Linked DNA regions of Canis lupus familiaris. The protein of the gene in region 4 interacts with the protein of the main gene of each other region in a pairwise test. Links are inferred from orthologs where the notes say so. Each region holds a gene or a part of one and is shown on either strand. Other genes may lie near its edges. The genes, in order: SIAH1, WWP2, WWP1 and ATN1.

Evidence for each region.
Region 1: the proteins of ATN1 (region 4) and SIAH1 interact in a two-hybrid assay, tested with the Homo sapiens proteins (2 studies listed by BioGRID and IntAct). The link is inferred for Canis lupus familiaris from reciprocal best matches to the Homo sapiens genes ATN1 and SIAH1.
Region 2: the proteins of ATN1 (region 4) and WWP2 interact in a two-hybrid assay, tested with the Homo sapiens proteins (2 studies listed by BioGRID and IntAct). The link is inferred for Canis lupus familiaris from reciprocal best matches to the Homo sapiens genes ATN1 and WWP2.
Region 3: the proteins of ATN1 (region 4) and WWP1 interact in a two-hybrid assay, tested with the Homo sapiens proteins (2 studies listed by BioGRID and IntAct). The link is inferred for Canis lupus familiaris from reciprocal best matches to the Homo sapiens genes ATN1 and WWP1.

The regions. Positions count from the first base shown.
Region 1 is NC_049223.1:65,986,556-65,990,684, forward strand, and holds the start of SIAH1 (E3 ubiquitin-protein ligase SIAH1), read left to right. Parts: upstream 1-1,283; 5' UTR 1,284-1,780; coding exon 1,781-1,871; intron 1,872-4,129. UniProt on the Homo sapiens protein: E3 ubiquitin-protein ligase that mediates ubiquitination and subsequent proteasomal degradation of target proteins.
Region 2 is NC_049226.1:80,504,249-80,508,435, forward strand, and holds the start of WWP2 (NEDD4-like E3 ubiquitin-protein ligase WWP2), read right to left. Parts: upstream 2,853-4,187; 5' UTR 2,850-2,852; coding exon 2,780-2,849; intron 1-2,779. UniProt on the Homo sapiens protein: E3 ubiquitin-protein ligase which accepts ubiquitin from an E2 ubiquitin-conjugating enzyme in the form of a thioester and then directly transfers the ubiquitin to targeted substrates.
Region 3 is NC_049250.1:33,231,029-33,234,595, forward strand, and holds part of WWP1 (NEDD4-like E3 ubiquitin-protein ligase WWP1), read left to right. Parts: intron 1-57; coding exon 58-186; intron 187-1,515; coding exon 1,516-1,591; intron 1,592-1,698; coding exon 1,699-1,770; intron 1,771-3,567. UniProt on the Homo sapiens protein: E3 ubiquitin-protein ligase which accepts ubiquitin from an E2 ubiquitin-conjugating enzyme in the form of a thioester and then directly transfers the ubiquitin to targeted substrates.
Region 4 is NC_049248.1:7,986,543-7,988,992, reverse strand, and holds part of ATN1 (atrophin-1), read right to left. Parts: coding exon 1,580-2,450; intron 1,352-1,579; coding exon 1,129-1,351; intron 765-1,128; coding exon 68-764; intron 1-67. UniProt on the Homo sapiens protein: Transcriptional corepressor. Recruits NR2E1 to repress transcription. Promotes vascular smooth cell (VSMC) migration and orientation. Corepressor of MTG8 transcriptional repression.

The DNA.
Region 1 (4,129 bases), on a different chromosome or scaffold from region 4:
GTAGGAGACTCCAGAATGATGCCACTTTTATTGTCCTGACTCACTTGTTGAGAGGTTTGTCTGTAGGTTAATGGTTTTCAGAGACTCTGTAGGGCTCTGTAACCTCTTTCGGAAGTTTGGGAAAAGTGATCCCCCCTCCCCCCCATCATTCCTTCTCTTTGACTTGTTTTATACATTTAGGTTCAGTTTTAACTCTGGAAAGGCAGGGATGCCTAAAACATTTGAAGTCGTCTGCCCTATCAGCCTGAGACCGCTCTAGGGTGAATGTATTAGGAAATGAAAATGTAGGTAATAATAATTTATATTTGTCAGTGAGCAGACTTTATCTAACTTCATCCATATTTCTATTCCCAATGATGTTTCATGTAGCCTAATATTAACGTGAGGTTGAAATGACTGAATACAATAGGGTCTGGAAGTGATTGGAACTAAAATTTGATTTGGAAAATGGGTAATCTACAATTTACTGCACAGGGTTCATTCCCACCATGAGCTCCTGCTGTGCGTTTAAAGGCTGCCCTATAAGCATGATATAATGACAGGTTAAACCCCTGAGTGTACCACCTGACGCAGGGCAAATCTGAGGCCCAGGACTTTATTGGGGCCCGTGTAATGCTTCTTTAAAAACACAAGCTTCTCTGTTTAATGAGGCCATTTAAGATGGTTTTCCCAGACTGGGAAGAGAATATAATCTCAGTTTGGAGGTTGAAGGAGTTTAATAGAGTTACGGGTGTTTACTACTCTCACTGCAATCTATTCGAAGGAAGAGAAGGAGTTTCAAGTATGATGTCACCAGGGATAGAAGTGGAGGAGTGAGTTAGAATTGAGGAAATCGGGTCGTTGACGCCCAGTATATAGTGAACGAAGTGGGGAGAGTGCTTTTACTCTATGAGCACAGTTCACACATGGTTAACCAGGAGAAGAGCACTTTTCTGGCCACGTAATTCTCATATACTCTATGTAGGTCTTAGGTTGAAATCATACAGAATTGGCAGCATCTGTTTTCTACAGAAAGACATGTTTCGAACTAAATGTAAGCTTGTGGAAATGGGTGAGGTTGCAGTGTTGCCTGGGGTCGAGGGCAGGGTCTGGGTTGTGCGGGGCAGCGCCCCAGCGGCCCTGGGCTGGGGGGCGGGGCTTGCGGGCGTGACCACCGCGCCGGCCCCGCCCCGCCCCGCCCTGTCCGGCCCCGCAGGCCCCGCCGGCCCCGCCCCGCGCTCGCTGCGGCTGGGCTGGGCTGGGCTGGGCTGGGCGCTGCGAGCGGAGGCCGGCGGGCGCTGCGGGCTGGAGCAGGCTCCCCCAGCACCGCCAGGCCCAGCCCTGGGCCCCGCGTGGCTCTCCGGCGGGCCGGACCCTGCGGCAGCTCCGAGCTGGCTCCGGGGTGCGCCTGACCAGCCCCCGCGCACCCTGCAGCCCCATCCTTCACCCACGCTGGCGGGCTAGTGAATGTGGGGAAGACAAACTTCCAGGGCAGGCGGTTGAGGGCCCAGCGGAGGACAGCTCCGGTGATGGCGCCCATTTTTGGAAACGCAGGCGAATTGGAGCTCGCGGGGAGGTGTGGTGGACTCCTGAGGGGACGGGAGAGGCTTCGTTCCTCTGCTGCTGCGGCAGCCGGTGCTTCGGAGGAGTGAATGGGGGATCCTAGAGCAGGGCGCTTACCTTCGCTGCTTGAAGACTTGAACTCCGACGTGCTTAGGAGCAGAACGTGTCCATCCAGCAGGGCCTCTGTTACAAATCGTGTTTGCTCCTGGGGGAAGGGCTATGAGCCGCCTGACTTCTCATGACCGGGAAGTCTCCCTTACCTTTTCCGTACTCCTGGAGGGGCGTCTTGCTCACATGTCTGCCAGCAGCTGGGACAAGGAAGAGAAAAGGTATTGACACCAAGAGACTGGGATGCTTAAAGTATGAACCGGGAAAAGTTGTGAGCTGGGGGAATCGGGATCAGGGAGTGGCTGCAATGTAATTGAGCTCTAGTTTGCATTGCTGTTTCTTTTGATCTACTGTACTTTTCTCTGTTTAAACCAAGCTTCAGGTTACGTCATCACTCCTGCAGGGTTGTCTGAAGACACTTGAGTCCGTGGTTCCTACTGCAGGGCTGCTCTGTGGTTGGGGTTCTTTTTGTTTGAAGATGGAGCTGGGTTCCACCTTTGGTGCTTTGGGAGGTTTTAGCACCTTCTGTCCTGTAATACCTCCATTCGCAAGAAATACCGGCCTCATTTCACTTGTTTTCACTCTTTAGAGATTTAAACTGTTTTTTTGTTTTTTGTTTTTTGTTTTTTTTACAATGTTTGCAAAAGTAATAAAGATAATATTGGAATGTAAGCCTGAATGATTGATGATTATGTATAGTTATTTGCTCGGTCTGGAAATGAAACGATAGTATTTTTCTTGCTTATATTTTCCTAGTTCTATTATTTTGAATACAAGCCGAGTTTACTGTTCCTTGATGTGATTAGCTTGTTTGGTTTAGTAATTTGAAAAGGCATCAGTGGTTTAGACTGTTTTGTGTGCAGGGAGCCACTTTCCAATTCTAACATTGCTCACATAAGTGAGCAGTATAAAATGGACCACGAGACAGGCATACAGCATATACGTGGGGCATTTTGGCAAGGCTGAGCCCGTTGTTTCCAAGTGGTAGAAAATGCATGGATCATCGTACTCACAAAGAATCAAACACCTGGGTTGTACAGTGTTTCAGGTGATGAGAATTGATTCCCGTTGTCCCTTAAGTCCATGTGACAAGCCACCTTATGGTGGAATTCTGTACTTTTGTAGACTCTTGAATTGTAGAATATTAACTTTAGTTGACAGTGGACTATTTTTTTTGTCACCTTCAACCCTCACTTGGTGTCTATCCTTGAGTAATCTAGAAGTCCAGTTGCTTTTATATAGTCACATGGGTAACCAGCGTTGTTTTCTTAAAGTCAGGTTCTTTGCAGCAATAATGATTACATTGAGGAAGCATTAAATTTGAGGCATTCAGTTTTAGTTTTGTTAGAAATATGGTTTGTATAGTTGTTGGGAATACAGTCTTGGGACATCAGTAGACTGATCTTTTGTTATCCCTGAGACAAATATGGCCTGTCATATCCTAACAAAGTAGATTCCTGGGAAAGGTATTTATTTGCTTTATCTTTCATTTAGCCTGACAAACTAGTTACATTGTTGTCGTTTCTTCCAGATGACATTTATCTCAAATAATATTTATTCCTGTGCTGATGAATGCTTCAGCAACACTAGTGAACCCTAGGATACAAGGAATTCTTAACCTGTTTACTGTCCCCAATGTTGCATGTGTCTCTGGTGTTTTAATCTTTATTCTTTAATTACTTCTTTTCTTCCCCTTTTCAAATTATATGTAATTTTATTGTGCAATGGAAATAGAGTAGAAAGATGTACTTTCTCTGAGTACCTAAAAACTTTTGAGATTACCCTCCATTTCTCTTCTCTTTCTCCCACCTTTATTATGGGGCCTACTGATCAGTAGGAAGTAAGATTAATTAACACGTAGCTGGTGTTCAGATTCTAGGGGAAGACTTAATAGATGAAGGTGCATGATGGGATGGCAGCAGATCCTTCCCCTGACGACCCCTCCATCCCTAAATCTACAACTGAAGCAGATAACTGTTTGCCATTAGGCGGAGTTAATCAGAGCTGATGTCCTGGGTGATCCTTTGGATTACTTGTGACTGACTCCCTGTCACTGTTTCGAGCTGCCTTAGAATGGAAAAGAAATGGACTGAGCAGGGCAATTGAACACCGAGGGAGAGGGGAAAGTTCAGTGAAAACAGCTTTGGTTGAACTTAAGCTACTTAACACAGGGTTTCTTAGTTGTTTACAGTCTGGTTTCTGTTTCAGCATTTATTCCATATTGTATAATTCATCCAAAGGGATTTTTTAATATTTTTTTAAGAAAGGGAATTCTACATGTGTTTTGGGACATTTTGATAAAAGAGATTTTATCTGGTCCACAACTCCTATAATACTCAAAATGCATAATTCGTGTAATTTGTGTTTTTTTTTTTTTTTAAATCCTTTACTCTTTTTGCTCACAGTATGTTTTTCATAAAACTTAAGTATTTCTGGCATGTAAACATTATTTATAAAACAAGTGAGAGTTTTAATTATT
Region 2 (4,187 bases), on a different chromosome or scaffold from region 4:
ACCGCTAGAAGGGTATTCCTTCCAAGGGAAGCAACCTGGCTTTCAAGATTACACAATCATATCCCCTTTGATGTACTTAGAAGGGACACACAAGAAACTGATATATTGGGGATCCCTGGGTGGCTCAGTGGTTTAGAGCCTGCCTTTGGCCCAGCGTGTGATCCTGAAGTCCCGAATCAAGTCCCATGTTGGGCTCCCTGCATGGAGCTTGCTTCTCCCTCTGCCTGTGTCTCTGCCTCTTTCTCTTTCTGTGTGTCTCTCATGAATAAATAAATAAAATCTTTAAAAAAAAAAAAAAAAAGAAAAGAAAGAAAGAAAAGAAACTGGTATATTAGTTTCCTCCAAGGACGAGCACTGAGGAGCTGGAGGGAAGGAAACAATCTTAAGGCTGATAAACAGATAAAAGAAATGAGTAACATTTATATTTCAGAAATCATAATTTAAAAAATGATGAGACACAAAGGGTTGCAGAAGGGGAAGCAGGCAGGGGGTTGGGGTGACTGGGTGACGGGGACTGAGGAGAGCACTTGATGGGATGAGCACTGGTTGTTATACTATACGTTGACAAATCAAACTTCAATAAAAACAAATAATTTTTTTTAAAAAAACAACTAAAAATAAAATAAATTAAATTAAATTAAAAAATAATGAGACAATTTTGCCTCCAAATGACCGTGTATCTGAGCTCTGATACTCAGCACTGTTCCCCAAGCATCTCTCAGTTCCATGACTCCACTAAGGAGTCAGTTCCATGACTCCAGAGCTAAGGCCACCAAAGCAACCTGTCATTCAAGGAATATTCACTGACAGCCCACTATGTATCCAGTACTATTCTGTGTCACTGGGTTTTCAAAAGTAATGAAAATAGAGAAAAATTCCTATTTTTGTGTTTACATTCTACTGAAGGAGACAGTCAATAAAGGAAATACATAAAAATATGTACTGTGTTGGGACGCCTGGGTGGCTCAGTCACTAGAGCCTCCAACTCCTGATTTTTGGCTCAGATTGTGCTTTCAGGGTCATGAAGTTGAGCCCCTAGTAGGGCTCTGCATTGGGCTCAGTCTGCTCGTCCCTCTCTCTGCTCCTTCCCCAACTTGTGCAGTTTCTCTCTCTCTCTCTCTCTCTCAAATAATCTTAAAAAATACATATGTGTGCTGTGTTAAATGGTGACAAGCCTAAGAAGACAAATATAAAGTAGTGAAGGGGATAGACATGAGGAAGTGGGGTGTGGGGGAGGCTACAGAGGGATCAGGGAGGCCTGGCTGAAGAGGGTGACTTTTGAGTAAAGACCTAAAGAGAGTAAGGAAGCAAACCAGGTAATCGTCTGGCCCCAAAGCATTCCACTCGAAGGGAACAGCAAGTGCAAAGGCTCAGAGGTGGGAGTGTGCCCAGTATAGTCCCTGAAGAGCAAAGAGGCCATGTGGCTACAGCAGGGTCTAGGTAGAAGAGTAACAGGAAATGAGAAATGGGAGTGATGGGTGGGGTCCCATCATGTGGGACCTTTAGCTTTTATTGGGTGAGATGGAGAGCCAGTTGTCAACATGTTTAAGCCCTTGACATGCCTGCTATGTGACCCACAGAATGAAGTAGGGCAAAGGACAGAAGCAGGGAGACTACTGCCTTCATCAAGGGTAGAGATGAAGGCAGCTCATGGGATGGTGGGGGTGGTGAGAAGAGGTTGAACGACAGTTGCATTCCGAAGACAGACAGACATGGCCAGGTTCACAGCTGGCTGAGCGTAGGATATGATAAAGGAAAACCAGGAGCTTACATGGCTACTAAACATTCAAGTGGAATGACAAGTGGGCTACTAGAGATACAAAATCTGGAAATCTATCAATGGAAAGGCCCAGGCTAGAGACATAATTTTGGCAGTAGTGACCTTATTATTGGTGGCATTTAAAGCCATGAGGTTGGGGGGCACCTGCATGGTGTGGCCAGTTAAGTATCTGACTCTGGATTTCAGCTCAGGTCCTGAGATCAGGTAGCTGGGCTTCTGCTAAGCACGAGCCTGTCAAAGTTTCTCTCTCCCTCTGCCCTTCCCCACTGTGTGTGCTCACTCTCTCAAATAAATAAATAAAGTCATGAGGTTGGATGAGATTAACCTAGGGAATGAGTATCGATAGGAAAGGGTTCTGGGGCATCACAGAATCACCATTTTCAACAATTTTTGCCAAAAGTTCCTTTTATCGTTCTTCTTTAAGAATTCTAGCTATAGGGGATCGCTGGGTGGCTCAGCAGTTTGGCGCCTGCCTTTGGCCCAGGGCGCGATCCTGCAGTCCCGGGATTGAGTCCCGCATCAGGCTCCTGGCATGGAGCCTGTTTCTCCCTCCTGTGTCTCTGCCTCTCTCTCTATCATAAATAAATAAATAAATCTTTAAAAAAAAAAAAAAAAAAGGAATTCTAGCTATAGGGCAGCCCTGGTGGCCCAGCAGTTTAGTGCCACCGTCAGCCCGGGGTGTGATCCTGGAGACCCAGGATCGAGTCCCATGTCAGGCTCCCTTCATGGAGCCTGCTTCTCCCTCTGCCTGTGTCTCTGCCTCTCTCTCTCTCTCTGTGTCTCTCATGAATAAATAAATAAAATATTTTTTAAAAAGGAAGAAAGAAAGAAAAAATAGAATTCTAGTTACAACATGGTCACCCTATGAGAATAAATAGTTCACATTCCTAAGCTGTTTCACAGTGTTTGGCTCTCACACCCAGGTGGGCATACCCCTGCCTTTTCCTCAAAGATTGGGCTGGGCCTCAAATAGTAAACATTTCACATGTTGCCACTCACCTTTCAAAGTCAGCTGAGACTTCTCAAAAGGCAGGGCCACTCCTGGCCGGCTGGAGCTAGCAGATGCCATGTCATCACCAGAAAACTGCAAGATGAGCAACAGTAGGTTTAGAGGATACCTGGAAAGAAATTAAAGAACTGCACCCAACTTTCATATTTGAGTTGAAAGAGATGAACCAAGAAAATATAAACATCCAAGCAACTTCTGTCAGGGTGGAGGCTGTCTGTCTTATAATGACTCCTGAGCCTAGATGGGTCTCTGCTCAACTAGGAAGGGCGCACGATGTCACCATTTACAGGAGAGAGCCTAATATAACACTCTCAAAAAGAAAGTCACAGTTCAACAGTTAAAAAAAAAAAAAATCCAGTTTCATAAATCAACAAAGGATATACACAGAGGGGTGCCTGGGTGGCTCAGTTGAGTAAGCAACAGACTCTAGACTTAGGCTCAGGTCATGATCTCAGGGTTGTGAGATCAAGCCCTGAGTCGGGCTCCACACTGAGTATAGAAACCTGCTTGGGATCCTCTCTCTCTCCCTCTCCCTCTGCCCCCCCCCCCACTATTGTGTGCATACTCTCTCTGTACAATAAATAAAAAGAAATAAATAAGTAAATAATAAATAAAAAGATATACAAATGGCCAATGAGCCTATTCTTGACATCATTAGCCATCAGGCATCCAGGTCACTCGTCTTGGCCAGAAGCCTTGCGTTTTGAATAGATCTTTTACTCATATAACAATTTTGTGACATTATCCTTTGTCATCTGAAAAATATTGGTTCACTGAGCTATGCAGATACTCCAAATGTTGACATTTCATTATACACTATCAAAAAAAAGCACATTTGTGAATGTCACCACTGATCTTCTCAAACAGATCTTTAAGCATTGGGAAACTGTCAAGTTCTTAGTGGCAGATATAAGCGTTCCAAAATTCTTTTTTTTTTTTCCAAAATTCTGATTTTCACTTTAAAAACTCATATTTTATCATTGGCAACAAATACTGTCAGTTGTTTTCCTTCAAGTGACAGGCTCACTTCATTCATCTTGAAGAGTGTCTGCCAAATACCCAAATCTAGTAACTTCAGTTTGTTCGTGTTTTTTTTTTTTAAGCAAAAAGATTATTTCATAAAAAAGCAATTCAGCTCTCAATTCAAAACTCACACAAGTGCTTTTTCTCAAGACAATCATTATTTCAGTATGCAGAAGTGCCTGCCCTAGGCATATTTCCCATTTCATCACAAAGAATATTTAAAAAGACATGTACAAGAGTCAAGGCTTAATAAAATTAATCATTTTCACTGTTTCATCTAGCATTTTCTTAAGTGAAACTGGCTTTTTGTTCTCTTTTTACTGAGTGTGCTGTGGTGAGGAATACAATGACAACAGCTCAGATTTGTGGCACTGC
Region 3 (3,567 bases), on a different chromosome or scaffold from region 4:
CAGATGTCTTTAGTGCATAGAAAATGTTCACGTTGTGATTGTAACTTTGTCTTTTAGCTTACAGAATGAAGAACCCCTGCCAGAAGGCTGGGAAATTAGGTATACTCGGGAAGGTGTTAGATACTTTGTTGATCATAATACAAGAACAACAACATTCAAAGATCCTCGCAATGGAAAATCATCCGTGTAAGTGAAAACCTGAAATTCTTAAATGTTGTTTAATGAGGTAGCCTCAAGTTTAGCAACAGATTTGTACTTTGTGGATCAAGAAAACCTATATAAGTAATAGCCCAGTATACCTATCTTTGCTTTACGTTACTACAGAATGAATTTGTAGTGCATAATGTGGTAATAATAACAATAGCAGATATTTATCTAGTGATTGCTGTATGCAGAGGATTGCTCTAAGCACTTGTAGAAACTAGCTCATTTTATTTCTCAACAACCCTTTGAGGTTGATAATACTATTTTCCCTTTTTCAGTGCAGAAACTGAGGTTTAGGGAGCATAACTAACTTGTTCAAAATCAGAAGGGAATGGAGCTGATTTCAGACCAAGGCAGTCTATTCACGGAGTATTGTGTTCATAACTGCCACATCATGCTACTGTAGTGTGAAGGAATGAGAAGTCAACAAATCTGAATTTTCCAGAAAAAAATATCCTTTAAAATATCTTAAATATCTTAAAAATATCTTAGATTCACCTTCATCCTCATTCTTAGGTGTGATTTCTTTGCATCACTTAGAAGATAGAAGCAACAATAAAAGGGGTTTTTGGTTTTGTTTTGTTGCAAATTCCTACTGTCACACCTGCCCACCTACCAGCATGTCTTCCCTCTTGATCCTATAGATGAACTATCTTTGTTCCTGTCAAAGGCCCATCCCTTTGCTGGCACTCCAGATCTTTCCCTCCCTTTCCCATTTAATTGCCCCAACAATTATCATCTTTCTGTACTCCATCATCAGGTTCTCTTCCTCTATTGAATGATTCTCATCAGCTGCTATTTCTCCTAGATGAAAAATAAGCAAAACACTGCTTTTCATTTTTCAAATTAATTCAGTGAAAACTCATTTCTGTTGCTGCCCTGAAAGCATTGTCTGTACATTGCTGTTTCTAATTTCTCTTTCAAACAAACCACAAGGAAGTTCCACTAACCCTGAGCTTGTTAAGGGCACCAGTGACCTCCACATTGCTAATGGTTAATCCAGGGGTTGGTTGCTGTTCTGTCTCACTTGATTTAGGAGCATTTGACACAATACATTTCTACCTACCTCAACTTCAGAATGTGTCCAGAATCTTCTTTACATCTTTACAAAAGACCCATCCGTACATACTTCTCACTGTATGTGTGTTCTTATTGCTCAAGCCTCTTGGCCCATTAAATGTATCTTCTTTCCTAGCAGATAACTTTCCTGTGGTCATTTGTAGGACTCTGGTATACTCCATTTTCATACTTAATATTACATATCTAATTTTATTTTGAATTAATATTTGGTTTCTTTTTTTTTTTTTTTAGAACTAAAGGTGGTCCACAGATTGCTTATGAACGCAGCTTTAGATGGAAACTTGCTCACTTCCGTTATTTGTGCCAGGTACTACAGTGGTAAATAAATCTTATATTCATAATAATTTACTCTTATCTTTATACTATATATATACTACAGCTTACATGATATCATGATGTTATTTTTGTTTTTAGTCTAATGCACTACCCAGTCATGTAAAGATCAATGTGTCCCGGCAGACACTGTTCGAAGATTCCTTCCAACAGGTAAGGAAGATTTTATCAGAATAAACAATACAATTTGTTCAGTTATATTCTATATATATAAAGGGAGTTAGGGTTTAAAAATTTTAAACCATGACTGCCAGTTACTGAGTGTCCATTATAATAATAGTCCTAATAAACCCCATCATGTATTGAGTGATTGCCAGTGCTTGGCCCTGGCATCTTATATTTATCCTTTAATTCATTGTCACAACATCCCTTTGAGATAGCTCTTATCATTATGTCCATTTTAAATAAAGCTTAAACAGCTTCTGGAACAAGTTGATACATTTTGACACTAAATTTTCTGAGATTTTATTAACTCAAACAAGTCTTGATAATACTACCAAATTAAAATTGAATCAGTATAGATACTCTGTTCCATTTAAGTATTCTTCAGTAACCCTAATGTTCATTCTTACCTCTTGTAGGTTTGTTTAAAGGTTATGGTCTTAGACCTTGTCTGAGCTCAGTAGTTAAGATGGCAGTCCCTGCTCACTTCCCTCATAGTCCCATTCTAGCCATTTATCCTACTTTATTCTTTCAATAACACTTAGCACCACTTGACCCATTTTATTTGTTTCCCTTACTAGAAGGTAAGCTCCATGGGAGCACAAACTACCTCACTTACTGCTGTTATGCTCAGTACCTAGAATAGTGTCTTGCATAAAGCAGGTATTCAGTAAACATTTGGTGAATGAATAAATGAATGTAATATGTCTGCCTTTCCTGAATCATCTACAGGATATATAAAGATAAAATATCAAAATATTGAATTTTTTTCTGATGACGTGGAGAATTTTTCATAAAAGTCTTCTCATTCCTCTCCCAGAAGTATTACAGTGATGAATTGAAAGCCCCTGTATATACATGTACCCAGGGACTTGTACATAAACAAGCCAAAATAGCAGCATTCTAAAGTCAGAGATGTTTAAATCCTAGTTTAATTTTACTAGCTGTTGGAATTTGGGCAAGATACTTAATGTAGCTATTATCAAAACTTTTTTTTGGTTGGAGTTAATTCTTAGCTTGCTCTAAGTTCTTGAGCTTTATTGTAGTTTGAGCTTTATTGTAGTAAGTTGTACATCCAAGTCACGAAAGACTTTATTTTGCCTTGTCCTCTGGTGTGGGGAGAATGATGGTCTATTTGATGTGCATGACTGCCTATGAGGCAAAGTCCTGCTGGTGAGCTGTGCCGTCACACAAACATCAGTCTTGGCTTTGGTTTTGACAGATGTGTGGTGGAAGTAGTTAATTGTTATCCAGAAGTAAAACCTGTTTGCTAGTAATCCAATGTAAGGCATTAAGGACTATGGAAATTGGATATGGGTATTGTATAAATAATTCTTTGCTTTAGCTGACTGAGTCCCTTTCCTACTGAGAAATGGAATATGTGGTATAAGCAGGACCCAGAACAAGCTCTTTGCTTCTTATCAGATGTTGCCAGTTAAAAAAGTATAAGTCACCTTTTACAAGATTCTGGTAATTTGGGGCGTGACAGGGGAAGGAGTATTTTCTAAACTTAAAAGCTTTCTGTGTCACTCTTCCTCTGTTGCCACTGATCCAAAGTAGAACTACCGTTTAATACTAAAAGAGGGGAAAGAGATTTTAGAAGGTAAATCACAGAAAGCTTAATAGAGTAAGGTACATCTCTACTAGTTTGTGGAACATACCAGTTTATCTCTTGAGTTGAAGGCATTGTACAAGATAAGGAAATGTGTTATTTTGGAAGTGGAGATTAAATTTAAACTGAATTGTTTTGGAAGAAACTTGTGCTGTATGAGTGCTTAAGTATCCATG
Region 4 (2,450 bases):
AACAGAAGAGCCCAATCACTTACAGGGATCAAGGTGGCCCCCAGGGACCAAGACAAAGGAGTCTCACCTGCATGGATGGCATCCTGCTGGTGGAGGTGCAGGTGGGAGTGGATGTGGGAGTGCTGGTGGTGATGGGGGGTCACATTGAGCATCTGCAGCCGGGCCAGTGGGTCATTGCCCAGAGCTGCCACCCTTTCTGCATGCTGCCTCTCAGCTGCCAAACGCTCGGCGTAGGACATGTCAGGCCGCAGGGCTGGCCCAGCTGCCAGCGCCAGACGTTCTCTCTCCAGGGGCCCCAGACTCGGATGAAAGGGGAAAGGGTGCAGGCCAGGTGGGCCAGGCTGCAGAGCCAGGCCCCCGTGTCGGGGGAAGGGATCCAGGCCTGGCCCAGGGACCCCATGCAGGGGTTCCAGCTCACTGGGCTTCACTTCGAAGCCAGGCTTGAGGCGGTCACGGAGGTCTCGTTCACGGGCTTCCCGCTCCCTCTCCCGGGCTGCTGGGTCACTGCTGTACAAGGCCGGGACATTGTAACCCAGGAGCCCCGGGTCCACTGCCCCTAGGGGCACGTAGAAAGGATGGTTGCGATTGCCAGGAGACATGACGTGGGGCCGGGCGTATTCACTGAGCGTGCGCAGGGCCGGAGTGTCAGGACCCAGGTAGGGGGGCACCGTGGCTACGGCACTGCCCGGCTCAAATGGAGGGCGATGGGGCACCGGGCCGAGAGATGGGCACTCCACTGGCGCCCGGCCCTCCTGAGCCAACTTCTGTGGGACACAGGGAGAAACAGAGTCAAAAGGGCAGGTCTGGGAACCGGGGCTCACTTGTCTCACCAGCTGAAGGCCCTCTGCTGGCCGGCTCAGCCCAGCAGGCGCTGCCCGAAGCCCTCTCCCGGACGTCGGCCCTCCCTACCACCCCCAGGGACTCTGGGCTGAACTGGCCTTCCACCAACGCACGAGCGCCAGGATTCCGCCCGCGGGGATCCTTCCGTCTCCGCTCCCCGGGCCGCCGTGCCTCCTCCTCTCCGACAGGAGGCGCAATGACCACCCCCGCCGCTCCGGCCCTCGACCCTCCCTGCGCGGCGCGGAGGAGGGGCCGGGAGGCGGGCGGCGCGTGCGGTGACGCACTCACCACGCTGCGTTCCAGCTCGCGCTCCTTCTCGCGCTCGCGCTCCTTCTCGCGCTCCCGCTCGCGCTCGCGCTCCTTCTCTTCGCGCGCGCGCTGCTCGGCCTCGCGCCGCACCTTCTCCACCAGGTCGGCCCGCTTCTTGGCCAGCTTGGAGCCCTCCAGCGGCACGAAGTACAGGTCGCTGCGCGCGCACGAGTTAAAGCCGCGGTCCAGGTGCTTGTTGAACCTGCCGGGCGCAAGGGCGGCGCGCGCTTAGGCCCCTGCGAGCGGCGGGAGCGGTCCCGCGCGGACCCTGCCCCGTGCCCGCCTGCGCACACCGCCAGGGGGACGCAGGGCTCCGGAGTCAGTTTTCAAAAGCACCGCAGGAAGGCAGCGTTCCCTCTTGGGCCTCCACCGGTCTCTCCCCATCTTCGTCCCCCATCCAGGCCCAACCGCATCCCGCCCCCCGGCTCACCTGGCCGACTGGCTGGCGTGGCTGGGCACGTCTACCACCTTGGGAGGGGGCGAGGGGCTACGGGCCGGGGGCACTGGGCTCTCGGGGGTCTCATACTCTTCGGCTGGCTCTTGTTTGATCTGCGTGGCATTCAGGGGCGGCCCCGAGGCGGGGGCTGCAGGCGGTGGTGGCAGGGATGACAGGCCTGCAGGCCCGGCAGGTGGCAAGGGGCCCTGCCCCACGGTAGGCGAGCCCGGCTTGAAGGTCCCTGGGCCCGCGGGCGGCGAGGCGCCTCGGTAGCCGGGTGGGGTTCCCGTTCGGAAGGAGGGAGGTGACCCCGGCTTGTACCCCGGTGGGGTGGCGGTCTTGTAGGCCCCTGGGGACGGGGCTCTCTTTCCATACGGCGGGGGCCCAGGTGGGGAAGCTGTTTTGTAGCCTGCTGGCGAGGAAGCCACTGTGGCAATGACCGTGGAAAGCGTAGCCGAGGAGGTGGTGACCGGAGGCACCGGTGGGAAGGGGTAGGGAGCTCCCTGGGGGCCCTGGGAAGGGGAGGGGTGCGAACAAGGGTAGGATCCTTGAGAGGAAGAGGAGGAGGAGGCGTTGGAAGAAGAGGAAGAGGCAGGGGGCCCATTAGGGCCTGCTTGGCTGTAGGACACCTGGCCGTGAGGTGGGGGCAGGTGTGCTGGCCCTGGCGGGTAGGGCCTCAGAGACCCCAGGGAGGGAGACATGGCATAGGGATGGGCATGATGGGAGCTACTGCTCTCCAGGGGGTGGGGATATGCTCCAGGGGGAGGGGGCCCAGAGCTCCCATGATGCTGTTGCTGCTGCTGCTGCTGCTGCTGCTGCTGCTGCTGCTGCTGCGGCTGCTGCTGCGACTGCGGCGGCGGCTGCT